3 linked regions of the Tamandua tetradactyla genome follow. The protein of the gene in region 2 interacts with the protein of the main gene of each other region in a biochemical or structural test. Links are inferred from orthologs where the notes say so. Each region holds a gene or a part of one and is shown on either strand. Other genes may lie near its edges. The genes, in order: RAD51, RPA1 and RFWD3.

Evidence for each region.
Region 1: the proteins of RPA1 (region 2) and RAD51 form a complex in vitro, tested with the Homo sapiens proteins (2 studies listed by BioGRID). The link is inferred for Tamandua tetradactyla from reciprocal best matches to the Homo sapiens genes RPA1 and RAD51.
Region 3: the proteins of RPA1 (region 2) and RFWD3 form a complex in vitro, tested with the Homo sapiens proteins (3 studies listed by BioGRID, with this or other methods). The link is inferred for Tamandua tetradactyla from reciprocal best matches to the Homo sapiens genes RPA1 and RFWD3.

The regions. Positions count from the first base shown.
Region 1 is NC_135340.1:53,975,279-53,985,440, forward strand, and holds the start of RAD51 (DNA repair protein RAD51 homolog 1), read left to right. Parts: upstream 1-5,593; 5' UTR 5,594-5,861; exon of another isoform or gene 5,862-6,487; intron 6,488-8,973; 5' UTR 8,974-8,993; coding exon 8,994-9,080; intron 9,081-10,162.
Region 2 is NC_135332.1:55,591,362-55,601,628, reverse strand, and holds the start of RPA1 (replication protein A 70 kDa DNA-binding subunit), read right to left. Parts: upstream 4,264-10,267; 5' UTR 4,127-4,263; coding exon 4,094-4,126; intron 1-4,093. Other genes in the region: protein-lysine N-methyltransferase SMYD4, read left to right, coding at 4,777-4,813, 5,602-5,743. UniProt on the Homo sapiens protein: As part of the heterotrimeric replication protein A complex (RPA/RP-A), binds and stabilizes single-stranded DNA intermediates that form during DNA replication or upon DNA stress.
Region 3 is NC_135342.1:69,205,095-69,215,695, forward strand, and holds the start of RFWD3 (E3 ubiquitin-protein ligase RFWD3), read right to left. Parts: upstream 4,075-10,601; 5' UTR 3,934-4,074; coding exon 3,891-3,933; intron 1-3,890. UniProt on the Homo sapiens protein: E3 ubiquitin-protein ligase required for the repair of DNA interstrand cross-links (ICL) in response to DNA damage. Plays a key role in RPA-mediated DNA damage signaling and repair.

The sequences.
Region 1 (10,162 bases), on a different chromosome or scaffold from region 2:
CCCATATTTTAGAGCAACTAGAAGGAAAAATATGAGAGGATCATATGGTAGCACATGAAAAACTCTGGGATCTGTCCTGTAACTACTTGTTGAAGAGTGCTTTGAAAACTATTGCATTTTTTATTTCTTTGCTTTGTATATATGTTATACCATACAATAAAAAAAGTTTAAAAATATACTAGAGACACACAACATCAGATTTGAAGAGGCAGAAGAAAGAATAAGCAAGCAGAGGACAGGACAACTGAATTCACACAAAGAACAAATGGCGAAAAAGATGGACATCTTTGAATTGGATCTTAGGAAAATGATGGATAACAAAAAGCATAGAAATATAAGAATCACTAGTGTCCCAGAAGAAGAGAAGAATAAAGGGCTATGAAGATTATTTAAGGAGATAATTAGAGAAAACTTTCCAACCCTTATAAAAGACATAAATATGCTAATCAAAGAAGCCCAAATCCAAATAGGCCCACTTGGAGACACATACTAATCAACTGTCAGATGCTGAAAAGAAGCAGAAAGTCCCAAAAGCAGCAAGAGAAAAGTGATTCACTGCATACAAGGGAAGCCACATAAAGCTCAGTTTGGACTATTTGACAGGCACCGTGGAGGCAAGAAGGCAGTGGTATGATACATTCAAGATTCTGAAAGAGAAAAATTTCCAGTGAAGTATTCTTTATCCATCAAAGTTGTCCTTCAAAAGTGAGGGAGAAGAGAGCCCTGCGCAGCGGAGCCCCCACCACTGCTGGCCTAGTTACCATCTTGCCCCAGAGGAGCCAGAGCTGCCACAGCCGGCCCTCCTCACCAACGCCGCAACCATGAGACCCCAGCTGCGACCACCCCCGCCCTCAGTGCTGTTGACACCAAGCTCAGTGCCACAGGCAGTGGCACAGGAAGCAGCATCCCAAGCGGCCTCACATTGGCGGCACCTGCCTACAGGGACAAGATCATTGCCTGGAAAGTTTTGGGAACAGCAGAATGGTTTGATGCAAGAAATGGATATGCTTTCATCAACAGGAATGATACTAAGGAAGATGTGCTTGTACACCAGACTGCCATAAGAAGAAGTACCTTCACAGCGTAAGAGACAGACTGTGGAGTTTGATGTTGATGAAGGAGAAAAGGGGGCAGGGGTAGCAAACATCACAGGTCCTGGTGGAGTTCCAGAGCAAGACAGTAAATATGCAGCAGACTGTAACCATTATACACATTTTCCATGTTGTAGGGGCCCTCCATGCAATTTACCAGCAAAATTACCAGAATAGTGAGAATGGGGAAAATAACGAGGGATCAGGGAGTGCTCCCAAAGGCCAGGGCCAACAACACTGGCCCTACTGTAGGCGACAATTCCCACCTTACTACATGCAGAGACCCTGTGGGTGTCATCCACAGTTTTCAACCCTCCTGTGCAAGGAGAAGTGATGGAGGGTACTGACAACCAGGGTGCAGGAGAACAATGTAGACCAGTGAGGCAGAATATGTATCTGGGTTACAGACCAGGATTCCGCAGGGGCCCTCCTTGCCAAAAACAGCCTGGAGAGGACAGCAATGAAAATGGTAAAGAAAATCAAGGAAATGAGACCCAAGGTCAGCAGCCACCTCAACATTGGCACCGTGGTAACTTCAGTTACTGATGCAGCACTCAGAAAATCCTAAACCACTAGATGGCAAAGAGACAAAAGTAGCCAATCTACCAACTGAGGATTCTTCTGCTCCCAAGGCTGAGCAGGGTGGATCTGAGTAAATGCTAGCTTACCATCTCTATCATCATCTGCTTCAGTCATACAACAAGAAGTGAATATGAAATTCCAGCAATAAGAAATGAACAAAGGATTGGAGCTGAAGACCTTAAGTGCTTGATTTTTGCCAGTCGACCAGATAACTAGAACTACCTGCATTATCTATGCAGCATAGGGTTTTTTTTTTTTAATGGCACATTAACTATGAACTGGGTTGGGTGATGGGATGTAAGGAAACAATTATTCATTAATACATCAAATACTTCCTTATTGTTTACTAAGTTAGGCCCTGAATTATGCACTGACAATACAGTGGTGAAGAAGAAAAACAGCCATAAAACCCTAGAAGACCACATAGAGAGAATATGTAAATTTAGGTGAGAAGAAGATCCAATTTAATTTAATTTAATTTGTAATAAAAGTTTATAACTTAATTTTTTCAAAAAAGTCAACAAATTGCAAGTATCTGTTAATAAAGGCCTTAAATAACAATTAAAAATAGTGAGAGAGAGACTAAAATTTTCACAGACAGATAAATGCTAAGAGAATTTGCTAATAAGAAATCGGCCCTGCAAAAATACTAAAAGGAGTACTGTCAGCTGAAAAACAAAGATAGGAGAAGGAGGTCTGGAGAAGGGCACAGAACTGAAGAGTACTACTAAGGGTAACTTAAAGGATAAAAACAGAGAGAGGAAAAATATATAGATCTGACAAATAAAAACCAAAGGAGAAGATGGAAGATTTAAGAACTGCTTTTACAGTAATAACTTTCAACGTCAACGGACTAAACTCATCAATTAAAAGATACAGATAGGCAGAATGGATTTAAAAATATGATCCATCTATATGCTGTTTATAAGATATTCATCTTAGACCCAAAGATACAAATAGATGCCAAGTGAAAGGATGGAAAAGATATTTCATGCAAGCTGTAACCAAAAGAAAGCAGGGGTAGCTATAGTAATATCAGAAAAAATAGACTTTAAATGCAAAGATATCATAAGAGACAAGAAAGGACACTACATATTAATAAAGCAGAGAATTAATTCACCAAGAAGAAATAACAATCATAAATGCTTATGCACCCAATAAAGGAGCTCCAAAGTACATGAGTCAAATACTGGCGAAACTAAAGGGAGCAAAAGACCTTTCAATAACAATAGTGGGAAACATCAATACACCACTCTCCTCTATAGAAGAAAAACCAGACAGAGAATCATAAGGAAATAGAGAACCTAAACAATGTGATAAATGAATTAGACCTAACAGACATATATAGATCGTTGCAGATGAAGGCAAAAGTCATCCAAAATCTAGACCCAACAATCGAACCTACACTGCCCTCTAAGTGGTCAGGTGAGAGGGAGAGTTAGTTGCATGTCTCTTTCTTTAAATCAAAAGCTAGAAATGATTAAGCTTAACGAAGAAGCTAAGACAGGCTGAAAGCTCTAGACCCCTTGCACCAGTTAGCCAAATTATGAATGCAAAGGAAAATTCTTGAAGGATATTAAAAGTGCTACTGCCAGGAACACATCAAAGATAAGAAAATAAAACAGTCTTATTACTAATACGGAGAAAGTTCTAGTGATCTGGATAGAAGTTCAAACCAGCCACAACATCCCCTTAAGCCAAAACATACTCCAGAGCAAGGCCCTAACTCTGTTCAAGTCTCTGAAGGCTTGAGAGAGTTGAAGAAACTACAGTAGAAAAGTTTGAAGATAGAGTTTGGTTCATGAGGTTTAAGTAAAGAAGCTGTCTGAGTAACATAATAATACAGGGTGGAGCAGCAAGTCCTGATGTAGAAGCTGCAGCAAGTTATCCAGAAGATATAGCTAAGATTATTGATAAAAGGGGCTACACAAAAAAACAGATTTTCAATGCAGGTGAAACAGCCTTCTATTGAACGAATATGCCATCTAGGACTTTCATAGCTAGAGAGGAGAAATCAATACCTGGCTTCACAGCTTGAAAGGACAAACAGACTCTCTTGTTAGGGGCTAATGCAGCTGGTGACTTTAAGTTGAAGCTGTCGCTCATTTATCAATCTGAAAATACTGACCCTTAAAAGTTATGCTAAATTTACTCTGCCTGTGGTTTCTAAATGAAACAACAAAGCCTGGATGACAGCCTATCTGTTTACAACATGGTTTACTGAATATATATATATATTTTTTTAGTATATCTTGATACAGTAATTATATTGTGAACTTTTTTATTTTATTAGTATGACACCATTATTATTATTATTTTTTACATGGGCAGGCACCGGGAATCGAACCCAGGTCCTCAGGCATGGCAGGCAAGCATTCTTACCTGCTGAGCCACCGTGACCCACCCTGAATATTTTAACCCCACTGTTGACACCTACTGCTCAGAAAAAAAGATTCCTTTCAAAATATGACTGCTCATTGGCAACACACCTGGTCAGGAGCCCTGATGGAGATGTAGAGTGAGATTAATGTTTTAATGCCTGCTAATACAACATCCATTCTGCAAAGCATGGATCAGGGAGTAATTTTTACTTTCTAGTTTTGTTATTTAAGAAATACATTTCGTAAAGCTATAGCTGGTATAGAGAGGGATTTCTTTGATGGATCTGGATGAAGTCAATTGAAAACCTTCTGGAATGTATTCAGCATCGAAGATGCCATTAAGAACACTCATAACTCATGGAAGGATGTCAAAATATCAACCTTAACAGGAGTTTGGTAGGTGATTCCAACCCTCATGGACAACTTTTAGGGTTTCCAGACTTCAGTGGAGGAAGTCACTGTAGATGTGGTTGAAAAAGCAAGAGAACTAGAATTAGAAGTGGAGCTTGAAGATGGGACAGAATTGTTGCAATCTCATGATTAAATTTAAACGGATGAGGCTTGTTTAGTATGGATGAGCAAAGAGTTTTTGAGAATGGAATCTCCTCTTGGTGAAGATGCTGTTAAATAGTGTTGAAATGACAAGAATATTACATTAAACTAGTTAATAATGCAGCAGCAGCTTTTGAAAAGAGTGAGTCCAATTCTGAAAGAAGCTCTATTGCGGTCAAAATGCTATCAAACAGAATTGTATGCTATAGAGAGATACGAAAGGAAGAGTCAATGGATGTAGCAACTTTATTGTTGTCTTATGTTAAGAAATTGTCACAGTCACCCCCAACCTTGAGCAATCACCACCCTGATCAGACAGCCGCCACCAATATCCAAGTGAGAAGCTTCACCAGCAAAAACATTACAACCTCCTGGAAGCGCAGATGATTAGCAGTTTTCAGAAATAAAACCTTTTTATTTCTTCTAAAATTTATTAAATTTTAATAAAAATTTAAAACATTTTAAGATTAAGGTATGTACAATTTTTTTTTAAACACAATGCTATTGTTCATTTAATAGACTACAGTATAATGTAAATACCTTTTATATACACTGGGAAACCAAAAACTTTGTGTGGTTCACTTTATTGCAATATTTGCTTTATTGTGATATTTGCTTTATGGCGGTTGTACAGAACCGAACTACCAGTGTCTCCGAGATAGCCTGCAGTATTTCTATTTCTTTCTCCACTTCTGGAGAGCTAGCTCTCAGCTCAATTTCCTAGTTTCATTCATCTCCTATGGTTTCTCCAGTTTCACCACTTCCAGGGACCTGGAAAACAACTTGCTCTGGGAAATTGACTGACTCAGGTCTGGCGAAATGCCAAAAGCCCAGGTTCAGACACCGCAGAAACAAAGTAAAAAAAAACCGTCCCCTGAACCAGATTATCCACCACAGGGACGAGGGTGGGGGCTGCGGCAACCGCGGTACCTGCTGGGAGATATAGTTCCGGGTGACCCCACTACCTCTTGGGAGTTGTAGTCCTCGATCTGGGAGAGAGACGAGAACAGCAGTTCAGAAAATTTTAAATAATCCTTAGAGTAAAACAAAGGGAGCAAGCCTATAATACCATGCTGGTTCTCTGGACCCATCCCTCGGGCTCGCATGCAGTGTCCAAAGCGGCTCCGGGGGGATTGGAGAAGGGCGGGGACACGTTACGCTGACGCAGGCGTGACCCTGCCCGAGAGGGTTTGGCGGGATTTCCGAAAGCCGCCGAGCAGAGTGCGAGCTGAGGCCCAGACCCAGGCCTGAGGAAAGCTGAGGCGCGCTCCGGCAAGCGTAGTTGGGAGCTGAGCCTCGCTTGGATTGTGCGCAGACAGCCTGGGCAGGGGAGTAAGGAAGCGGGGCACTAGCGAGGAGGCCGGAGCTGGCCGGGGTCGGGCCCGCGCAGGGCCAGCGGACAGAGGTCAGAGCGCGCGGCTGGCGAGCGAGGGGCGCTGCAGGCAGAGGTGAGTGTGGAGGCGCAGATCCGGCCCCTTTCCGCGGCTCGTCCCCGCGTTGGCCGGAATGGGACCTGGGCCTTTGCTCTCCCGCCGCTTATCCTCTGTGCTGAGAAACTGGAGATGGCGGAGCAGGGGCGGGTTCCAGGCCCAACCGCCTTTCAGAGCTCGTTGTGAAGACAACCGGAACTGGGAGGAACCTTAGACACCTTCAAGCCTAACACCCGTTCTGTGGGCGAGGAAGTCGAGACCTAAGGAGGTGTAGTGACTTAGTTAAAGTCACAACTTTTTAATGCCACAGCCATGATTTCCGGATTCCTGGTCATTTCTCTTGACGCCACACCGTGTTTTGCTTACAAAGTGCCAATCTTCATTTGCCAAGAAATATTTTCATAATCTAATGTGGAAGGCTGGTCACGTGGTGGCCTGGGAATGCTGGGAAGTGAGTTTTCCCCCCTTAAATTTACCAAGTATAGTGTAATGTATGTAGAGGGAAAAATGCACACATCACGACTGTATGCATTTGTGTATTCAAAATAAATATACTTGTGTAATCACCACTCAGGTCGAGAAATAAAACGCTGTCAGCACCCCAGAAGCCTTCCTTGCACAACCTTTTCCAATACTTGCCCCTCTTTTCCTCAGAGGTAACCACTGACTTATAATACCATTGATTAATTTTGTCTGTATTTGAATATTGTGTAAATGAAATAATACTTTATGGATTATCTTGTGACTGACTTCATGAAACATTATGTCTGTAGATTCATAAAGAATAGTATTCCATATCCATTCTATTCTTCTTAGTTTCAGTTTTTGGATTTTATGAGAAAGGCTGCTGTGAACATTCCTATATATATTTTGGTGTGCATGTGCATGCTTTTCAGGTGGTTAATACACAGAATGGTGCAATTCCTGAGTCAAAGTATTTGTCTGTTTTGAACTTTCACATTTAATGCTAGTTTTCCAAAATGGTCAAAATAGTATACATGCACACAGCCCTGTAGGAGTCACTCAACTTGCCAGCACTTGATATTGTCGGTCATTTTAATTTTAGCTATTCTAGTGGGTATGTAGTATTGTCTCATTGTGGTTTTAATTTAAATTTCCCTGATTATTAATGAGGTTGGGCATCGGTTCATATATTTGTTGGCCATCTGGATATTTTCTCTTGTGAAGTGCTTGTTTAAATCTTACTCATTTTTCTTTGCGTTGTCTGTCTTTTTCTTAATTGATTTGAAAGAGTTCTTTGTCTATTCTGTTTGTCAGCCATTGATTATATATGTGGCAGAATTTCCCCCCTGAGTATATTCTCTTAATACTGTCTTTTGGTGAATAGAAGTTCTGAATATTATGTCCAATTTTTATCTTTTCCATTGTTTTATGATTGTTGCATTTTGTATACAGTATAAGCAATCCTTTCTACCCCAAGGGCAAGAACATAGTCTCCTATATTAAAAGTTTTGCTTTACCTTTTACATTTAGATTTACCATCTAAATTGGAAATTAATATTTTTCTATAATGTGTGATATTTTAGCAAAGTTCATTTTATCATTCCATCTCTATTTACTGAAAAGACCATCCTTTCATCATTAATCTGCAGTGCCATTGTTTTCATAAATTACAAAGAAAGGTATTTGAATTTAAATTGCATCCAGATGATTTGGATAAATTGAATTATTCTAAACTCACAGTATGCTAAATCGCCATGGAAGAGATCCATCCCCAAACCAATGGACACAAATGGTCATCTTATCTTTTCTCAAGTCTCCAGGAATGGAAATTTTGTATCTTTTATGTTTGTTCATTGTTTATGTATCTCTTATCTTTTAGATTACATTTGTCCAAAACTTTTTTTTTTGTGTGCTGTATGGCTGGGTCACATTTCATTCTTTTTTCCATGTGAGTATCCCGTTATTGCAGCACCATTTGTTGAATATTTGTTTGTTTGCTTGTTTTGGGAAGTACATGGGCCAGGAATCAAACCCCGGTCTATTACATGGCTGGTAGGAATTCTACCACTGAACTACCTGTGCACTCCCTTTGTCCAGACTCTTTTGATGTTATTTAAGATGACGTATTCTTGTGGACATCAAGACTCGTTCATTTTTACAATTTGAAACTACTTCTTTCCAAGGCGAGCAATCATAATTCTATAGGCCTTAGGCTAAATGGAAGGGTTTACACTGAATGGGTCACTTGCATGTTTTTCATTTTCTCATTCACTGAGGTGTCTAAAGTTCTGTAATTGAATAAAATGGTGATCCTTGAGTTTCACACTCTCCTATTGACAGCAACAAGTGTGTGATTAAGCTATGATCTTTGCTTAAGTTTCCCTTTCAGGAACGGAGGCTTATGGGCAGCCATTCTGTATCTTCATTTCACTCCTGCCTCCCTTCTTCCCTTCCTCCCTTGCTCCACCCCGCCAACCCCCAGAATTCCTCTTGCTAGAAGGAAACAAGGGAACGAAAGCTGTTAAACCTTTCCTAGGTTGAGAGTTGTTTTTTTTAAAGTAGAGTACTGGAATGTCCGGATTCTTCTAACAAACATTTATCAAACACTTAGCATAATGTATCATGAAGTGTATAAAAATAAATAAGACTTTGCTCCTACCCTCAAGGAGTATAAAGATAATATAAGAAATTTAAGATAGGGATATAGAGGGGAATAGTTAATCTAGTGAAGCTGTGCATCTTTAAGAAGCCAAGTGATCCTGGCTCTTCCTGAAGCTTTTATGTTACAACTCTATCTAAATAGAGGGGAATGCTGGTGAAAGGTTTGTTCTTTTTCCTGCCATGGTTAGGTCAGTGATTAGACTAAACGCCTAACAAGTAATTTTTCAGAGATTTATTGTAAAACTGAATTTGCAACTCCATACTTAAGCCACAGTGTTTCTCTAATATTTTTGATGGCCATCTGTATTTTTCAGTATTGAACACCCCGAGTAATGGCTATGCAGATGCAGCTTGAAGCAAATGCAGATACTTCAGTGGAAGAAGAAAGCTTTGGCCCACAACCTATTTCACGATTAGAGGTAAATGCTAAGTTGTTAAGTTTTGGATTATAATGTTAAACAAGATTCTTCTACCTGCTGGGAGAAATAACAGCCTTTACATAAATCATTCATTTCCATCCAAGATCAAAACTCAAATGAGAATTTTCGTGAGAGTTTTCAAGGATTTTGTGGGAAGGGTTAATATAGGAGCTAAACATGTCTGGCCAGGGCTCTTTTGTCTATAATTCTCCTACGTTATCATTTTTCTTTCTCAGAGTTGGGCTGTCAGATGCTAAAAAGCTTTAGAATCCCCTGGTAGAGTCTCTGTGCCGTTTGCACTTAAGTATATACGTGCTGTCCAGAGAATTCCAGTGGCTTGTGCGCAGCCATGCAGGGAGAAAGGAGCAACTTCTCTATATCACTGAGATTTGTGCTGGAGTTACTAGCAAGGCAGCTGTCACAGGCAGAAAGAAGGACTTGGGGATATAAAGGGAAAAGAGCCAAGCTCCAATGCAAGACTGCCCAAAAGCATTAAGCGCCAGAGCTGGGGTCCTGTGCTGTTTTTGTCCATTGTACAGTGGTACAGTATTAGTGCAGCTAACTTGTACTAAAGAAGTTGGGGAGAAAGGAGAGAAAGTTTTGATTCTGATTGCTTTATTATGCATGTTTCCCTTATCCCAGCTAAGCTTCAAGACCCCAGAAGTTAAGTAAATGGGTAAATGTGGTAAAACATCAGAGATGGTTTTTTTTTGTGGGGGTAGGGGTCTGCATTTTTGGTTAATAGTCATGACTTTTGGTGCCATGAACATCCTTATACCCAGGTATGTGTATTCCTTATTGCTAAAATAGTCCCTGCTGGAATAGCAAACATGGTTGGTTTCTATAGGCAGATACTATTTTCTCCCCTCTCCCAAGCCCTTCCTGCTCCCAGATACATATATATCCCCTCACTAACTCATTCTTTCCCCAGAAGTCATGGTTTTAGTGTCTAATAATACCAAAGCTGTTGGGTATAGGGAGAGAATGGTGTTCTTGGGTTGTTTGTTTTGAAAAGTGGGATAGGGCCCCTGACCAAAAGTAGTCGTCTTCAATCTTTACAACAGAACATCCTAGTCATTGTG
Region 2 (10,267 bases):
ATAATTTTTTGAAATTCATGAGCTATCCTGGAACCAACTGTGTTGACATCTGCACTAATAGTGCAAAGCAATGGTAGGTAAAACGATTAGTCCCTTAGCATAGCTACTACACTAGGAGTCATTGTATTCTTCATTGCCTTGGATTTTTGGAGGGCTGGGAAGTTCACCTAAGAATGTCCTTGATGAGAGTGCACAGGTGGTTCAGTGGTAGAATGCGAGCCTTCCATGCGGGAGACCCAGGTTCGGTTCTCGGACCATTTACCAACACCCCCCGCCCCCCGAAAAAAAGAATGCCCTGATGAAGCAGTAAAAATTACCCATTATATTAAATCTCAACCCTTGAATACACAAAATTTTAATATTCTGTTTAACAATATGAAAGTATGCACAAAGTACTCCTGTTGTATACTGAAGTATGACTGCTATCTCAAGGAAAAATACTTGTGCAATTTCTGTTTAAATTGCCTAAGGCATCTGTGGGACACCATCAAGCATACCAACATGTGTATCACTGGAGCCCTAGAAGAACAAGAAAGAGAAAAGGGCAGAAAAAGTATGTGAAAAAATAAGGGCCAAAAACTTCCCCAATCTGATGAAAGAGAAAAATGTATACATCTATAATGCTCAATAGACTCCAAGCAGGCAGACTACGAGAAACACACCAAGACACATTAGAATGAAACTGTAAAAATCCATAAAAAAAGAGAGGATTTTGAAAGCAGCAAGTGAGATGCAATCCCCAATAAGATTTACAGCAAATTTCTCATCAGAAATCATGGAAGCCACTAACAGTAGGATAGCATATTTGAAGTCCTTAAAGAAAAAACTGTCAACCAAGAGTTTTCTATCCAGCAAAATTATCTTTTAAAAATGAAGGATAAATTAATAAAATGTTTACGAATACAAGCTAAAAGAGTTCACTATGAGAAGAGTTGCCCTACAAGAAATTCTAAAGGGAATCTTTCAGGCTGAAATAAAAGGACACTAGACAGCAACCTGAAGCTGTAAGAGATAAAAAAAAGAACACTGGTAAAGATAACTACACAAGTAAGTATAAAATCCCATATTATTGTACTTTGGGTTAGTAACTACTTTCTCCCCCATATGACTTAATAGGCAAATGTATAAAATAACATTTAAATCTTGTTAATGGGCATAAAATGTATAAAGACGCAATCTGAGCTAATAATAATATAAAGGGAGAAGGATGGAGATATATAGGAATAGAGAGTTGTACACTGAAACTAAGTTGCTACTGGTCAAAATAGATTATTAGTTTAAGACCATATATCTGATAAGGGTTTAATAACCAAAACATATAAAGAACTCCTACAACTGAACAAAAAGACAAACAACCAAACTGAAAAAGAGGCAAAGGATATGAACAGACATATTTCTCCAAAGAAGGTATTCAAGTGGCCAATAAATACATGAAAACATGCTCAACATTGATAATCTTTAAAGAAATGCAAATTCAAACTACAATGAGATACTACTTCACACTCACTCGGATGGCTATTTTTTGAAGGAAAAAACAATAACACAAACAAACCTGAAAACAAGTTTTGGCAAGGATCCAGAGAAACAGAAACCCTTGTACTTCGCTGGTGGGAATATAAAATGATACAGCCACAGTGGAAAACATAATCTTTTATTTTATGTTAATTCTTGCCCAAAAAGCCTCTACTACTGCCATCCTTTCATGTCTGTGCCTTTTGAACTAAAATGATATTATCTAATTTGGCCAATGACCAAAGTTGACAAAGGTTCTATACCACCAGAGAACAGAGGTTGTCTGTCACCACTAAGACAGAAACACACACACACACACACACACACACACACACACACACACACGCTCGAAAACGTCCTTTTTCATTCATGAGTAAAATGCAAATACTTCACCCAACACTGGAAATGTATTTCTAAAGATCTGAACATAGGGAAAACTCACTTATCAAATTATTTAAATAAAAATAATTTTTGTAAAAGCGAAGAACCCTAGTCTGTCTTAAAGCAACTACAATAATATGAATGAGGACTACAGTTTGCAATCACTTCCTAGGTCTCAACACTCATTTATTCAAATATTTACTCAACTCTTACAACAGCTTTACCCCTTCCCATTTCCCATGCTCCCTTTCTTGCTTATTTATCTCTGTCTCAAACACCCCTTACTTTTCACTGCCTCATTCATTCATGCAATTAGCAAACCTGAATCCTGCCGGCACTGCTCTAGGTACTGGGAAACTATACTGGTAAAAAAAACAGAAGTGATTGCGAGCCTCATGAAATTTAAAATCCAATAGCAAAGACAGTAGCTGATATGAATCAAATAACCAACAAATAAAAGTAAATTACATCTGTGGTTATTACAATACCTAAGTTTACTGAGCACTTACTATGTATTAGGCACTGGGCTAAGCACTTCAAATGGAATAACTCATTTAATCCGCCCACTAGCCCTATGCAATAAGTACTAGGTGTCATTGCCCTCATGTCACAGAGGAGAAAAAGGCAGAAAAAAGTTTAGCATCTTGCCCAAAGTCATACAGTTAGTAAGTGAAAAGGGATTATGGTTTCAAAATAAAGGAATTTAGCCTAGCAAAAGAAGTCAAAGACTTCTCTGAGGAAGTTAACTACTGACCTATTTCAACATTATGTTAGTTAATGAGAGGGGAAAATGAAGGCCCATCCAGGATGCAGAAAAAAGGAAAAGCATGTTCAAAGGCCACATGGAAGACAAGAGTGTAGAATATACCAGGAATTTAAACTTAAAAAAAATAATAATAATATAAGACAATAAAGGCCCTATGCTTGGAGAAGACATAACAAGTGGAACTATGATGAGGCTGTAGAGACAAGTAGGCTCAACCAACTCTGACCCTGCATCCACTATAAGAATTCTGGTCTTTATCCCAAGACCATTGGGAAGCCACTGAAGCAGTTTTTATATTTTTGCAACAGGGGATGGGAATCACTAGGAGTGTTGAGGAAAGAGGGTACACTGAGAGGAAGTGAGTAGACCAACCTAGAAATAAGAGTGGCAGTGTGGATGGGAAAACATAGATGGGTTTAAGAGGAATAAATTATACAGGACAGGATTTAAGTGTAATAAAATCATACAGGATGTGGTGAAGGACTGGACCTCCAGGATGAAGGAGGATGCAATAAGAACGATTTCTCAATTTCTGGCTAGCATACCTCATGAGATAAAGATGCCACAGATGGACAAAAAAAAATCAAAAGGCCCAGCCATAGAAAGGAAGATAATGTATTTGCTTTTGGACATGCTGAGATGACTAGATGCCTTTGAGACATGAAGTAAGCAGACAGATTATAGAGATTTGTCTTTCAGAGTAAAAGGCAGTTTGGAACAAAGAAAATTTGTGAGCAACTGACATACAGATGATAATGAGAATGCTTTGGAAGATGAGGGCCTGGAGCAGATTGAGTCTAAAAATTTACAAAGAGGGGTTTGCAAATAGGATGGGGAAAGATCACTCAAGTTGAGTCACGGAAACCAAAAGAGGAGAAAATGTCAACAGAAAGCAATGTTCAACAGACTCAAAGAGCTGATAACTCAGACAAATTGAAAACTGAAAAGTGTCAAGTTGGATTTAGCAACTTGGACGCCCCTGGTAACACCACCCAGAGCTTTCTATCGTGATCAGGGAGATTACTGATTGCAGTGGGTTAAAGAGTTATTGAGGGGTGAGAAAATGAAACAGATGAAAACAGAAAACCCTCCGGAGAAGTTTAGCTGTGAATTGGTGGGGGGCGGGAGGGGCGGGACAGGTGGAGGGAGATGGGGAGAAATCAAAAGTTTACTTTGTTTTGCTTTCTTGGGTGGGAAAAAGGTGAGCATTTCTAAAAGACGATAGGGAAAACCCATTGAGGAGTAACGGTACTTGAGAGGCACCCGGGCAGTTCCCCTACGGCTCCCCGCATCTTCTACACCCGCCCCCCACCGCGTTCTCTGCCCACCGGGTCCCAGCTCCCCTCCCCTTCTCCACTCCGGACATGTCCAGACTCCCCACCTCCAGGGCCCACAGCCAACCCCCGCTGGCGTGGCTCCCGGACACCTCCTTACCGCAATGGCTCCCTCACTCAGCTGGCCCACCATGGTTCCGCCAGGCTGACTCCGCGCTCAGACACCTCCGCAGCTAGGACTCCACTCCCGCGGTCCCGCACGCTTCGTAGCAATCGGCCCGAACAGTTGTGCGCGCCACCGCAGCCTCCCGCCTTGCACGCGGCGCGGGGGCGGGCCTAAAGCCAAGCTGCAACCGCATTGGCCGGGACGTGGCGGGCGCCCTACGTAATTACCCCCCTCCCCCAGGCGTTTCCGGGCCTGGTCGCCGGATGGCGGAGCCTAGGGGAGGAGTCTCGAGTTGTGGGGCGCGCCAAAGCTTGGGGGAGCGCGAGCGGAGGCTGCCGTGGCCCAGTTCTGGGAGCTTTCCCAGCGGGCTTTTGGCCCTTGGCTGGTGGAGCGAATGGCAGAGGACGGTTAGAGCTGCTCCCTGTTAATTCTGCCGCTAAAAATAGTCACAGCGGCGTCTGGTTTCCTTCAGCGACCGGGTTTGAGCGCCTGCTGCTGCTAGGCTGCGAACCTGGCATTTTAGAGGCCTCTGAAGGTAAATAAGAACGAGTTCTAGCTTTTCCCGACGTGCACAGTCTGTCCGGGGAGTTGCTGCTGTGCACTTACTCAAGGTGGACATGGTACGCCACAGGAGAGACACAAAGTGTGTTGGAATCACCGGCCATTTGAACTGAGTCATGAAGGATGTGTGGAAGTTTGCCAGGTGGAGCTCAGGTGACAGTAGGGTGTTCTTGGCAGAATGAAAAGGCTATGCAAAAACACTGGAGATACGAAACAGTTTAACAACCTGGGAGACGAGACGGGGAAGCTGTGAATAGTTCAGCGTGGTCGTGTACAGAGGAAGGAGAAGTGGGACTTGAGAATAAGAAAGAAAGACTAAAGGGCAAATAACGAAGGGTTTGTATTGGGCGTTCCTATGTGATAGGAGGGGTGTTTATGAATTTTAAGGCAGAGGATTGTTCTCTGTTGCAATGTGGACGATGGAGGTGGAGGGGAACTGAGGTCAGAGAGACTAGAAATGGTGAGGACCTGAACTGAAAGAGTGAAAGGGAATTTGAAGGAAAAAACACCTATGTAAGTGATAGAAATGTTATGTTAACTGAAGAGTTTCTCCGGTGAGTAAAAAAGAAAAATCTGGAACGACTCCTAGATTTCTGACTTGAGCTACTAAGGTGGATGGATGTTGCAAGAGCACAGGGATGGTAGCTAACTAATTTGATTCATGGTTACATAACCATTATCTAGCATGGTGCCTATAGCATAGCCTTTTTTTGGCATGGACTGGTACCAGCATAGGCTTTTAATAAATATTTTTGAATGAAAGGATGTTGTATGAGTTGGTGTGAGAGAATGTAGATCTTTCCTCAGACATATAAGGCAACAAAATATCCATATCAACAACTAAAGAAAAGACCAAAATAATTTATTTTGTTGCTTCACACTTACCTAGAATTTGTGCTTTTGTAGAAATCTGATTCCTTATTTTCTTATTCATTTTGCAGGTCTAAGCATGGACCTGCCTGTGGATGAGTGGAAATCATATGTACTTAAAAAGTGGTCTTTACTTCCACTCTCCATTCAGGTCACAGTTTCAACAGCAAAGTCTTTGAGTGCTATCTTTCTTCAGTGTTCTTCACATCTTCAGTAAGTGACTGGAAATTTTAATCTAGAAAATTTTCTCATTTGTCATTTGCTCTGAAGTAATATCTCTTCTTAGTGGGTTAATTTCAGATTTTTATGTTGTAGGGGCATTCAGCAATTCTTCGTACAGTTTTCACCTTTTTTTAAATGTACAATCATAGAACAAGTAGTGAGGATTATTTAGCTTTCTTGGTGTCAGTGTTATGTTTCAATAATTCAATACCTTGCTGTAGTCACCGTGCTCTGAACATTGCTATCGCCTAAAGGGTATTAAAGAGATTTATTAATTGTTCACGGAAATTCGTTAGTGCTCAAATTTAGAGAGGACCTTAGAGATCATATAATCTAAACCCCATAGTTTTCGAATTCCCTCAACTATAGCACTCAATAAGAAAAACATTTTACATTATATCCTAGTACACACGACGCAGGAATTTCTCAAAATGTCATTCATTCAATGAATATTTATTGATCACCTATTTTGTGCCAAATACTACTAGATGCTTAGAATACATAAGTGGCCAAAATAGACAAAGATCCTTACCCTTAGGAGCTTAATTCAAGCGAGGAGGGGTACATAATAAATATCATAAATAACTAAAGCATGTAATATGTTAAAGGTGATAAATACAATAAAAAAGAAAAAGTAGAACAAGCTAGGGAAAACTGGCTGTGCTCAGAATGAGTGCAGTTGTAGTATTAAATAGGATGGTCATGTTATGCCTCGTTGAAAAAGTGAAACCCCAGCGAAGAGTTGGAGGTAAGGGATTTAACAAAGTAGATATCTGAGAGAAGTGCACTCCAGGCAGAGACTAGAGCGAGAAACCCTAAGATGGGAGCATGTTTGGCATTTTCAAGGAGTCATAAACAGAGTAAGCCAGAGAGAGAAGTAGGAAATAAAGTCTAAGAGATAATAGGACAGGCATGGTGGTTGGGGGAAAGCAGGTGGCACAGACCATATAAGCCCTTGTCTTTAGGGTTTTTTTTTTTTTTCTTTTTTTTTTGGTATGCTGTATGTAGGGGTCACATTTCATTATTTTTCCATGTAAGTACCCTGTTATTGCAGTACCATTTGTTGAATTTTTGTTTTTTTTGTGTGTTTTGTTTGTTTGTTTGTTTGGGAAGTACATGGACCAGAAATTGAACCCAGGTCTCCCACGTGGCAGGCAAGAATTCTACCACTGAACTACCCTTGCATCCCTGGGCCTTGTCTTTTTTCTCTGAGAAGGAAGCTATTGCTTGAAGTGATAGGCAGGCAGAGGTCTATAAAGATTACCAATCCCACCCCTCACACCCACCCCACTGCAAGGTTCCTGTACTTGGTTATTCAGTCTAACATAGTGTATGTACCACTGTGAAGAGGTTTTTTCGGATGAAATTAAAGCCCTAAATTATTTCACCTTGAGATAATGGAGATTATCTGAGTGGGCCTGACCCAGTCAGGTCATACCTTTCAAAACAGAGGTTTTTTCACTGGTAGCAGAAGGGTCAGTCAGAGACGTTCATAGAACGAGAAGGATTTGATGTGCAGTTGCTGACTTTGAAGGTCGGGGGCCACATGGCAATGCGGGTGACCTCTTGAAGCTGAGAGTGGCCCCTGGCTGACAGCCAGCAAGGGAATGGGACCTCAGACCTACAGCCTGAAGGACCTTAGAAATGGATTCTTCCACATATCCTTCCAATAAGAGCTCACTTTGAGTTGGCCTTCTAACACCCTAGGCAGAAAACCAGTTGAGTCTACCTGTCTTCCTTCAGAGCTGAGATAAAAAATGGGTGTTTTTATAGAAGCCTGTACTTTTTATTTATAGATTTTGCCAATTTGTAATTTTATATTCATTTGATCGCTTGGTTAACATCTAGTCTCCCATTATACATTATGACCCATGATGGCAGGGACTTTGTTTTTCTTGAAGTTTTGTCTTCAGTGCCTGGCATGTAGTATATAATCTTAAAATATTTGTTGGTTGTATAAATGAATGATGTGTGCTTCTTTATTGTACCTGAAGAGATGTGCAATAGTTACCTTCTGTTAGTTAAGTCTGAAATCTCATTTTACTTATTCTATTAAGACATGTTTAAAAGGAAAACACTATGAGGAGATAATATATTAAGTCATTATTTAAAGTAAACCTCCTATTCATATTAACTGAACCATTTTCAAGAATAAAGTAAAAACTTGAAAAAATAAGAGGTAGAAGAGGTCAGTTTTAGTAGTGGGAGGTAGCCATGGAAATTTGAGGCATATGGAAAATTAGTGGGTCTTTGTTACATTATAGTTGGAAGCTGTAGTAAGAAGACCTAGATGGCAAAATAACAATGTGCAATGATTTGAAGAAAAGGGGCTGATGGAAAAATAAATGAGAACAGAAGACAAAAAAAAAAAAATGGGTGTTGTTTTTAGCCATTAAGTCTATGGTAATTTGTAATTTGTTATACAGCAACAGAAAAAGAATACACAGGATTTTTTTTTTTACATGGGCCGGCACTGGGAATCGAACCCGGGTCCTCTGGCATGGCAGGCAAGCATTCTTGCCTGCTGAAGCACCGTGGCCCACCCAGTACACCAGATTTTAAGAGAAGAATGATGCGATTTGATTATGTTTTAAAGCAGGGCTCAGCAAACTAAAGTCTGCAGGCTAAATCCAGCCTTCCACGTGTTTGTTTTTTTCTTTTTTAACATTTTTAATTGTGTAATATAACATATATACAAAGCAAAGAAAGAAAAAAACAATAGTTTTCAAAGCACTCTTCAACAAATCGTTACAGAACAAGATCCCAGAGTTTGTCATGGGCTACCATATGAAAAAAATCCTCTCAGATTTTTCCTTCTAGCTGCTCCAGAATATAGGAGGCTAGAAGGAATAAATATATATTTTTTTATCACAATTGATTTTTTCTTTTTTTAAAATTTTTTTATTAATTATAAAAATTAACAACAAACAAAACATTAAGATATCATTCCATTCTACATATATAATCAGTAATTCTTAATATCATCACATAGTTGCATATTCATCATTTCTTAGAACATTTGTATCAATTTAGAAAAAGAAATAAAAACAAAACGATAACAGGAAAAAAAGATTATACATACCAAACCCCTTACCCCTCGCTTTCATTTACCACTAGCATTTCAAACTAAATTTATTTTAACATTTGTTCCCCCTATTATTTATTTTTATTCCATATGTTCTACTCTTCTGTTGATATGGTAGATAAAAGGAGCATCAGACACACGGTTTTCACATTCACTGAGTTACATTGTGAAAGCTATATCATTGTTCAATCATCATCCAGAAACATGGCTACTGGAACACAGCTCTACATTTTCAGACAGTTCCCTCCAGCCTCTCCACTATATCTTGAACAACAAGGTGATATCTACTTAATGCGTAAGAATAACCTCCAGGATAACCTGTCGACTCTGTTTGGAATCTCAGCCATTGACACTTAGTCTCATTTCACTCTTCCCCCTTTTGGTCGAAAAGATTCTCTCAATCCCTTGATGTTAATTCTCAGCTCATTCTAGGGTTTTTCTCAGTCCCTTGATGCTCAGTCTCAGCTCATTCCAGGATTTCTGTCCCACGTTGCCAGGAAGGTCCACACCCCTGGGAGTCATGTCCCACGCAGCAAGGGGGAGGGTGGTGAGACTGCTCGTCATGTTGGCTGGGGGGAGAGGCCACAACTGAGCAAGAAAAGAGGCTCTCTTGGGGGTGACTCTTAGGCCTAGATTTTAAGTAGACTTGACCTATCCTTTGTGGGGTTAAGTTTCATATGAACAAACCCCAAGACTAGGGGCTCAGCCTGTAGCTTTGGTTGTCCACACTGCTTGTGAGAATATCAAGAATTCAACTTCGGGAAGTTGAATTTCTCCCCGCTCTCACCTTTTTTTCTTTTTTTGTGGAAAATAACATATATAAGCAATAAATTTCAAAGCACAGCACCACAATTAGTTGTAGAACAGATTTCTGAGTTTGGCATGGGTTACAGTTCCACAAATTTAGGTTTTTGCTTCTAGCTGCTCTAAGATATGGAGACTAAAAGAGGTATCAATTTAATGATTCAGCAATCATATTCATTTGTTAAATCCTGTCTTCTCTGTATAACTCCACCATCACCTTTAATCTTTCTGCCCCTCTCTTTAGGGATATGGCCATTCTAACTTTTTCATGTTGGAAGTGGCTGTCGTTAATATGGGGTAGGGAGATGGAACTAGCTGCTGTTCTGGAGAGGTTGGGCCCTCTAAGTTTCAGGACTTATCTGGTCCAGGAACCTATGCTGTTTGTTTCGTATGACCCACAACTAAGAATGGTTTTTACACATAAACATTTGCGGTTGATTTGGTAATGGAGAACACTAACTTTGAACTAAGTTTGAACAATTAAGCAAAATATTATCCATTAAAAGAAAAAAGAGAAAAAAAACGAAGCTGGAGGTCTCGCGCTGCCTGACTTTAAGGCATATTATGAAGCCACAGTGGTCAAAACAGCATGGTATTGGCATAAAGATAGATATATCGACCAATGG
Region 3 (10,601 bases), on a different chromosome or scaffold from region 2:
GACCAGCATAAAGGTATGACCAGAGGCTTGTAATACAAAACATAGGAGACTTAGAGATACAGAGAAGATAGTGATGGGTGAGTCGTTAGCTAATGAGGTTGAACTCCAGTATAAGGGAATAGATAGGAGCAAAGGTGATTCTCTAGCGGGTCTAGAAGTAATATTACCATATTGAAGATGAACGAGATTGAACGGGGTTGTACAGACCTATGTGTCCCACTGACTTATACTAGAAATATGAATCAGTTCTCGTAAGAATTACTTCAAAGATATGATTTTTGTACAAAGAGTGTTTAAGTCCAGAGTACAGGGGGAAAACAGCTATTGCATGCAATGAGCTATGTTCAAAAGGAAACCATAAGCACTACCACAGCAACAGCAGAGGTAAATAATGGGGATGGGACAAGACTTAAGAGGAGGTTTAGATTTCCTATTTGGTGAGGATGTGTTTATTGGTTTCCTGACTCTGGGGAACAATGAAATTATTTAAAATTCAGAATGTTGATGGATTGGACTTTGGGTCCTCTACATGATGCTCGATGAATGCAGGTGGCTGAAGGATACAGACAGAGAAGTAGATTGGTGAACGATTGTATATGCTTATGAATGAAGGTTGTGCTGCTACAAAAAGGAACAATGTCATGAGGCATACAGTGATATGAACGAACATGTGGGACATTTGGTGAGACAAAATAAGCCAGGAACAAAAAAACAACAATGGTATGGTCACTTTCAGAAAATGCTTATAAGAAAACAGGGATCTAGATCGTAAGCTTTTAGAGCAAACACATTAAGTCTGGAGTGGTGGCTATTATTTCTGGATTTTGAGAGGCTGTTTTATATATATAACCTGATATTAGAGATAAGAATGAAGCCGAACAGGTTGGGTTTAAAGTAATTCAGAACACAGGGGTAAGGAAGACAGTGACTATACTTTAGAACCACATATACTCTTTGAAACCAAGGGAAGAAAAGTTTATCTGATCTATAACTGAAATTTTCTGTAGTGCATAATCTAATTCAACCTATCTGTATAGCTCACTTCAACAACTGAAACACAGGGAGCACAGAGTAAGAAAGAGTTCTTATTCTTTAATCCTGTATAGATTATTGTAATGCCTGGATATATCCTAGAGTATATTAAGCAGATAATCGAAAAGTATTGGCAAAGTCCCCAAAGATACGGGAGAAAAATATGGATCAAGGTCATGGCCTATTGACTTGGGTGTCCCTAAAGTTTGACACAATATCACTGTCCTCCCCCCTAAGTGGGACATGACATCCAGGGGTGAAAGTCTCCCTGGTGAAGTGGGAGATGACTTCCAGGGATGAATCTAGACCTGGAACCATGGGATCAACAATTCCATCCTAACCAAAAGAGGGAAAATAAGTGTAATTAATAAAGTACCAGTGGCAGAGAGAGTTCAAATAGAGTCGAGAAGCTACTCTGGAGGTTGCTCTTACGCAAGCTTCAGGTAGACCTTGCTACCTATCACAACCTGCCAACCCCCAACCAGGACCATTCCAGTCAATCCTAAAGAACACTTAGGGCAATAAGATTCCATAAAGTTTCCATGCACTAGAGTACCTTCCCAGAAACCTACAACCTCCAGTCCTGAAACCTAGCCCAGCCTCTCCAGAACATAAGATAGTTCCATCTCCGTACCCCATATTAGAGACAGACCCTTCCAAATGAAAAATTTAGAATGGTCATAGCCCAAACCCCAATGAGAGATATGCAAAGATCAAAGGTGATGGTGGAATTATACAGAAAAGATAGGAATTAACAAATCAATATGAGTGCTGAATCATTAAATTGATATTTCTTTTAGTCTCCAGTATTTCAGAGCAGCTAGAAGTAAAAATCTGAAATTGTAACCCAAATCAAATTGTGGTGCTGTGCTTAGAAATTTATAGTTTTGCATATATGTTATTGTTCACAAAAAAAGAAGGAAAAAAAAGTCAATTGTGATGATAAAAAAGTATTTAAGCCCTCTAGCCTCCTATATTTTGGAGCAGCTAGAAAGAAAAATATGAGAGGATCGTATAGTAGCCCATGACAAATTCTGGGATCTATTCTGTAACCACTTTTTGAAGAGAGCTTTGAAAACTATTGCTTTTTTTTTTCTTCGCTTTGTATATGTTATACTGTACAATTTAAAAAGTTTAAAAAAAGTGGCATATCCATAAAATAGAACATTCAGCCATATAAAGGAATGAAGTTTATACATGCTCCAACATGAATGAACCCTGAAAACATATGCTAAGTGAAGTAAGCTAGACACAAAATGACAAATATTTTTTTATTCCACTTACATGAAATATCTAGAATAAGTAAGTTCATTGAGACAAAGTAATCAGAGATTACTAGGGGTTAGGGGGTGGAGGAAATGGAGAGTTATTGCTTAATGGGTGCAGAGTTTTTGTTTGGGGTGATAAAAAAGTTTTGGTAATGAATGGCGGTGATGATAGCGCAATACTGAATGTACTTAAAGTCACTCAACTGTACACTTAAAAATAGGTAAAATGGCAAAATTCATACTATATATGTTACCAAAATAATGTCTTTTAAAAACATGCGAAACCATACTACTATCTGGGTTTATAAATAGATGACAGTAGTATAAAACACGCATGGGCACGATAAATGCCAAATTCAGAAAGGGTATAGGGGTGTATGTGAAGCTGCAACTATATATTTTTTTTTTATTTCTGGAAAAAAAAAATAAGACGAAGCAATCATATCAAAAGGCCAAGATTTGTCAAATCTGGGTGGTAAATGCACATGTCTCCTTTTATTTCTGTGTACTTTTCAGTATGATTAAATACTAAAAAATGAAATTTCCTCCCATCATATGCCTAGTGAACAACCATTCTAATTAGACCAGGAGGGCAGAAAGCAGAATCTAAACCTAATCCACCACTGTATCCTCCATAGCATCAAGTACATAGCAAACGCAAAATACCTATTATAGTGTTCACTACCCTTCACAAAAACCCAACCCAAACCAAAAACCTGAGAACACATCAGGTGCTGTATCACTAAAACTTCTGTAGAATTACAGCCCTACAGAACCTACCAATTTTAACGCACTATCCAAGAAAAGAATTACACTCTTCCAAACTTCACTCATAAATTCTTCACTGCTCTTCAGAAATAATATTAAGGTCATGCCTTTAATATTGCTTACGACGTGTTTCTCGAGTACACCTACAGCCTCAGAACCGAAGGTCAGCGGCCCAAGCTACTTCTCGAAGTACCCAAAAGACACTCAACAAATCAACCTTCCAGAAAACAAAGGGGGTTTGAATGAGGGAAGGACCAAAGAGAGCCGACTCCAGGGACCTGAACCAGTCGCTACCCTAGTCTTTAGTCACATGAGGCTATTCAAATCAGATAAAATTAAAAATTAAGTTCCTCCGTCGCACTAGGCACATTTTAAGTGCTCAACAGCTACATCTGGCTACCGTACTGGATGACGCAGATGTACGACATCTCCAACATCGCGAAGTTCTGCAGATACAGAACGTTCCACCATTGCAGAAAGTTCTGCGGAACGGGCCGTTCTGGGGCAAAGCTTCCCAAGCCACACGGAGAGATACTGAGTCCCCCCACCCAGCCCCTGAGGTAACCAGGGATGCCTAAGAGCAAAAGAGCTTGGGTTGGCCACCCAACCCTTGTATTTATCTCATCGTGCCACACAAATGCTATTTTCTATGTACGCCACTGAAGTTGAGACTTGAAATGTTATCCTTCCAACTGCTCCTTCACAGGGCTTCGGTCATTTGAAACAATGCCCGCCAAAGGCCGGGAAGACGACCTGCCTATTAGCAAGTATGAGGAGGCACCGGGGAGTCAGAGACCTCTGTTCGAATCCCCGTTCTGTTACCTACTGCTGTGGGTCTCTTAACGCTTCTGCTCAACTTGTTCATCGATAAAATAGAGATAATCGAAGAACGCCACAGAGTTGCGTCACAGCGTAAAACTAGATAAAATAACAAATTAAGTTTCTCAGTTTCTTCAAAGTGACGCAAGTTCTGGACGCTCGACGGGAGTGCAATTATTTGCAAATGAATAGTCGAGAGACTTTGCTGCAGGGAATTCGGCTCCTTCCGGGACCGCTCAAAGTTCTTGCCCTCACCGCCCCCCACCCACCTGAGGCGACTCGCCCGGGAGGTTCGGGCGTCTCAGTTAGACCATTGACCCGCCCAGAGAGGCCAAACCTCTTCCGGCCGCCGGCCTCCGCTTACGCCCGCCCGCAACCCACCTCGTGGGGGTGGGGGTGGGGGTGGGGGTGGGGGTGGGGGTGGGGGTGGGGGTGGGGTGGGGGTGGGGGTGGGGGTGGGGTGGGGGTGGGGGTGGGGGTGGGGGTGGGGGTGGGTCGCCGGGTCCCGCAGCAGCCCGAGCAAGCTACCCGGGACCTAGAGACCCAACGCCTGGGGAGAAACTAGCACCCTCCTCACCTGAAGACAGAAGGACGCGTAAAGCTCGTGAGCCCGCGCAGTGGCAGCCCCTGCTTTCGTAGAACCAGCACTGCCCGGGCCACAACCGCCACTTCCTAAGCAACCGTAGCTCCCCGCCTGAGCCGCGGGCCCGGCCTGCTCCTATTGGGCAGCAACCACCAGCCGGTGACCAATAATCTCTCTTCTTCTTCCATTGGTCCCTGCTGCGGGAACAGCGGCGCTCTCATTGACTGGTCCTTCGTAGGCCGATGAGGCGGGACCATGCACGAAGAAAACTCGTACAATTGGTAGAAACCTATGCCCTTCACGTCGCGCTCAGCCCGCGAAAAGGAGAGCGGTTAAAGAATTTTGCCGCGATTTGCTTGAACTTTCTGGCGGGACAAAGTTACAAAAGAACGATTTACCCTTCCATTTCGGGATACATATGAAAATATTAAAACTTTGGCTCCCATTGATTCTCCCTAACGCTTTAGTGAAAAAGTTATTATTACCGAGAAATGAGGATTTAAGGGATGATTTTAATTACTAAATCATTATGTTAATGTCCCTTTTTGCTTTCTGGCATATCGGAGTAGATAGGAAATACCTGAAATCTCTGAATTATAATCCAGCTGCCTTGATCTCTAATAATGGTTGCTTAGCCCTTGTCTTCTGCCCCTGTGATTGTAAAACCTTTGTGACTAACCTTCATCTGTACCTAGTTACCCAGTTTTTCAATTTAAGAGTCTTATAATACCTAAAGATAGCCCCCCAGGGTTTATCAATGAAGGGTCTTGGGTTCCCCCCCAACTAACCCACTCTAAATCCCAAATTATTTTAATGACGAATATCAGATATAACCAAAGTGGGCCCACCTGACATGCGCAGTAGCTTAGATTTTAACCTACAAGTCACCTATACTTCATTCAGCCATTTTCTTCCATATATTCTGTGACTAAGCATGTAATTAATCTGCACATACTTGATAATTAGATCACCTCTAATTACATCATCTGGGGCCACTGTACTCATCTTAAACCCTGCCCACCTTTTCTCTAATAAAACTGCGAATGTTATATGAACTACACTGCAGTTCTGGGAGACAGCTTTTGGGCCCTTAGGCCATTTGCTCTCCTACTAGCATGTAGTAATAAACCCTTTCTCTCTCTGAAACCCCAATGTCTCAGAAATTGGTTATTGAGCATGTCGGGTGAAAGAATCCATGGCCTTTGTCTGGTGGCATTATCTTTATCCAAAGGACAGTAACTAATTGAATAATTTCACTATTTTGTCCCTAGAATTCCAGATTCATAAGAGGATGAGACAATCTTGTTCTTAAATATCCTCTCGTGGAGTTGAAGAGCTCAAGCAGAATTTGCCTGTGTGATCTCTTCAATCCCAGACCACTTCAATAAATTGCCTCCTGCTAAAAGAAGGTCACATCGCTTTCCATTTTTCAAGCATTTAGCTGAAAGGAAGACAAAAATCTCATTTTTAGGAGAAACACTTAAAAACCTAAATCTCAGGCACGGGCTATGCATTGTCAGACTTTTATTTACGCAACTGCCAATTTTCAGTGGAACGGTAAAGGAGAACATGAATAATCGAAAGTCATAGATAATCTGAAATTTGATTTTTAAAATATAATTATTTTATTAAAGAAGTTGTAGGTTTACAGATAAAATATGCAGGAAATGCAGAGTTCCCATACATCTCCCCCGCCCCATGATTTTTATTTATTTATTTATTTAGATTGTAAGGTAGTTCATTTACTTTATTTATTTTATTTTTTAGCAAGTAAGTAGGAAATTTATTAGGTACACATGTAAGAGGACATGTGGGCACTCTCACAAAGGTAAGTGAGAAAGGCTAGAGGCCTCCAACTGTTATTAACACCTTGCATTAGTGTTATCCTGGTTACAATTGATGAATGAATATTATTATACTTGTACTATTAACTATAGTCTATAGTTTAGATTAGGGTTTACTGTTTGTGTTGTACAGTCCTATGGTTTTGTTTTAAAATTTTTATTCTAGTGACATATATACAACTAAAATGTCCCTTTTTAGCCGTAATTAAGTGTACAGTTCAATTCTGTAGTTATGGCCACAATATTGTGCTACCATCACCACTATCCTTTACCACAACTACTCAATCACCCCAAATAGAAATTATATACCAATTAAGCAGTAACTTCCCATTGCCTAACCCAATGCTGGTCTCTGGTAACATGTATAGTAGTCTGAGTCTATGAATTTGCTTATTCAAATTATTTCATATTAGTAATATCATGCACTATTTGTCCTTTTGTGTCTGGCTTATTTCACACAACCTGGTGTCTTTAAGTTTCATCCATGTGAACCTTATTCCTTTTTTATTATTGTTTTTATTATCAGAACTTCATTCCTTTTTATGATTGAATTACATCCTAAAGTGTGCATACATATTTTGTTACCCATTGATCTGTTGATGCTCCTATCTTTATTCTCTTGATGCTTCTTGGGTTGCTTCTATTTTTTTTGGCAATTGTAAATAATGCTACTATAAACATAAGTATGCAAATACCTGCTCCAGTCCCTTTTTCAATTCTTTTGGGTATAAAACTAGTTGTGGGATTGCTGGGACATATGGTAATTCTATACTTAACTTTCTAAGGAAATACCAAACTGTTTTACACAGCAGTTGTACCATTTTACATTCCAATCAACAATGAATGAGTGTTCCTATTTCTCCATATCCTCTTGACACTTGTTATTTTGATTTTTTAAAGAGTAGCTATTATTAGTCAGGGTTCTCTAGAGAAACAGAACCAACAGGAGATATCTGTAAATAGAAGATTGATAAAGGTATCTCATGCAACCGTGGGAATGTAAGAGTCTAAAATCCACAGCGCAGGCTGTGAAGCCGGCAGCTTCGACAAAGGATCTTGAACGCCATAGGAGAGTTTTGCTAGCTGAAGAAGCAGTGAAAAAGCCTGTCTTCTTCCTAAAAGTCTTCAACTGATTGGATTACATTGTTTGCGGGAAAACACACACTTTGATTGCAGATGCAATCAGCTGAAGCTGCAATCAACTGACTGATGATTTAATAAACCAGCCTTCCGGTTTATCAACCAGCCACGAAATACCCTTGCAGCAATAGTCAGGCCAGTGCACCGATAACTGGGCATAATAACTTGGGCAAGTTGACACCAGAACCTAACCATCACAGTCCACCCCTTGACAACTGGGCAGCTATACTCATCATCTTGAAATATCCTGAATTTCCAAATAGAATGTAACAGACATGTTTCACCTAATAACACTAAACTGTCATGCACACAACAGGAAACACACTAAATCTCTCCAGAATAGGGTGCAAGTCCTTAGGTAACTTTCACTCTTGAACTTCATATCTAATAACTTAAATACTATAACATGAACAATACAATGTATGTCATATGATAAGAGGAAAACAAGATATTTGCTTACGTACAAATACAAATATGCTTATAACAAAACAGGGAGGAAATATTCATGCCATCACAGTCCTTGTTTCTTTAACTGGGCATGTGGTCATAGTTCATATTTATGACTACCTTCTTCCACTACCCATTCCATGTTCTCTTCACAGTCAGCAAATACTTCAGCTGGCTTGTGGTTCTTTTCCAGGTGGGATGACTCAAACCTTCATTCCTAAGGTTTCTGGGCTATTGGTAGTCCTGCCTGGGTTGGGTTGTTGCAGTTTTCAATTGATTTTAATCACAGAGTGTGGTAGTACTAAGAGATGCCCTAGGGGATATGATATATTCCAGGAAAACTCTTCTTTACCTCCATTGTGTAATTGCAATCCTATTTCCCCTTGATACTCAGGATCAATCACCCCAGAAAGTACAGTAATCCCTTCTTTCCCTGTTGATCCAGTAGCATGAGAGCCTAAAGTGGCCAGGTGGCAGTCTTAACTTCCAGTTCAATGGACTCATTGCTGTGTCTCCTGGTAGGAGCACTCCTCCTTTTGGAACTAAGACTTGTAGCCCAGCAGAGTTTAAGGCTTCAGGTACAGGAAGCAAAAATTTTCTCTAGTAGATAATTAGGGGTGATAGTGAGTGGTGCCACTCCCATTTCCATCCCTTGATTCCTGGACCCATGAATCTGGCTTTGGGAGAAAAGGCAACATACAGTGAATGCTAATTCAGTGCATACACAGCCTCCTGAAGAACACTGCCCCAGTCCTGCAAGGTATTTCCATCTAGTTGGCACCATAATTGGGTCTTGAAGAGGCCAGTCCACTGTTCTATCAAACCAGTTGTCTCTGGATGATGAGGAACACGGTAAGACCAGAGAATTCCATGTGCCAATTCCTGCATTTCATTTTCTGTGAAGTGGGTTTGTGCTGGTTTGAAAGGATGTGTGTCCCCTAGAAAAGCCATGTTTTAACCCTAATCCCATTTTGTAAAGGCAGCAGTTTCTTCTAATCTCTATTCAGCACTGTATATTTGAAACTGTAATTAGATCATCTCCCTGGAGATGTGATGTAATCGAGAGTGGTTGTTAAACTGGATTAGGTGACGACATGTCTCCACCCATTCGAGTGGGTCTTGATTAATTTCTGAAGTCCTATAAAAGAGGAAACATTTTGGAGAATAAGAGATTCAGAGAGAGCAGAGAATGAAGCAGAGAGTCCACAGCCAGCGACTTTTGGAGATGAAGGAGACCGTCTCCCAGGGTTCTTCATGAAACCGGAAGCTAGGAGAGAAAGCCAGCAGATGATGCCATGTTCGCCTTGTGCCCTTCCAGCTGAGAGAGAGAAGCCCTGATTGTGTTTACCATGTGCCTTCTCACTTGAGAGAGAAGCCCTGAACTTCATCGGCCTTCTTGAACCAAGGTATCATTCCCTGGATGGATGCCTTAGATTGGACATTTCTATAGCCTCGTTTTAATTGGGACATTTTCTCAGCCTTAGAACTGTAAACTAGCAACTTATTAAATTCCCTTATTAAAAGCCGTTCTGTTTCTGGAATATTGCATTCCAGCAGCTAGCAAACTAGAACAGAGTTCCTGGATCAGAAGCAATACTGTGGGAAATACCATGATGGTGGATAAGACATTCCATAAGTCCATGAAGGGTAGTTTTTGTGGAAGCACTGCATGCAAGGAAGGCAAACCCATGTGCAGAGTATGCGTCTATTCCAGTTAGAACAAATCATTGCCCTTTCCATGATGGAAGTGGTCCTATATAATCAACCTGCCACCAGGTAGCAAGTTGATCACCTTGGGGAATGATGCCATATTGGGGAATAAGTGTGGGTCTCTGCTGCTGGCAGATTGGGCACTCAGCAGTAGCCATAGCCAGGTTGGCCTTGGTGAGTGGAAGTCCATGTTGCTGAGCCCATGTATAATCCTCAAACCTACCACTAAGCCCATTTTTTTTTCTTATGAATAGACATTTTTTAAAATTTATTAATTAAAAAAAATTAACAACAAAAAATTTAACATATCATTCCATTCTTCATATATAATCAGTAATTCTTAATATCATCACATAGTTGTATATTCATCATTTCTTAGAACATGTACATCGATTTAGAAAAAGAAATAAAATGATAACAGAAAAAAAAGATTATACATACCATACCCCTTACCCCTCGCTTTCATTTATCACTAGCATTTCAAACTAAATTTATTTTAACATTTGTTCCCCCTATTATTTATTTTTATTCCATATGTTCTACTCGTCTGTTGATATGGTAGATAAAAGGAGCATCAGACACAAGGTTTTCACAATCACACAGTCACACTGTAAAAGCTCTATCATTGTTCAAACATCATCAAGAAACATGGCTACTGGAACACAGCTCTACATTTTCAGGCAGTTCCCTCCAGGCTCTCCACTACATCTTGAACAACAAGGTGATATCTACTTAATGCATAAGAATAACCTCCAGGATAACCTCTCGACTCTGTTTGGAATTTCTCAGCCATTGACACTTAGTCTCATTTCACTCTTCCCCCTTTTGATCGAGAAGGTTCTCTCAATCCCTTGATGTTAATTCTCAGCTCATTCTAGGGTTTTTCTCAATCCCTTGATGCTGAGTCTCAGCTCATTCCAGGATCTCTATCCCACGTTGCCAAGAAGGTCCACACCCCTGGGAGTCATGTCCCACGTAGAGAGGGGGAGG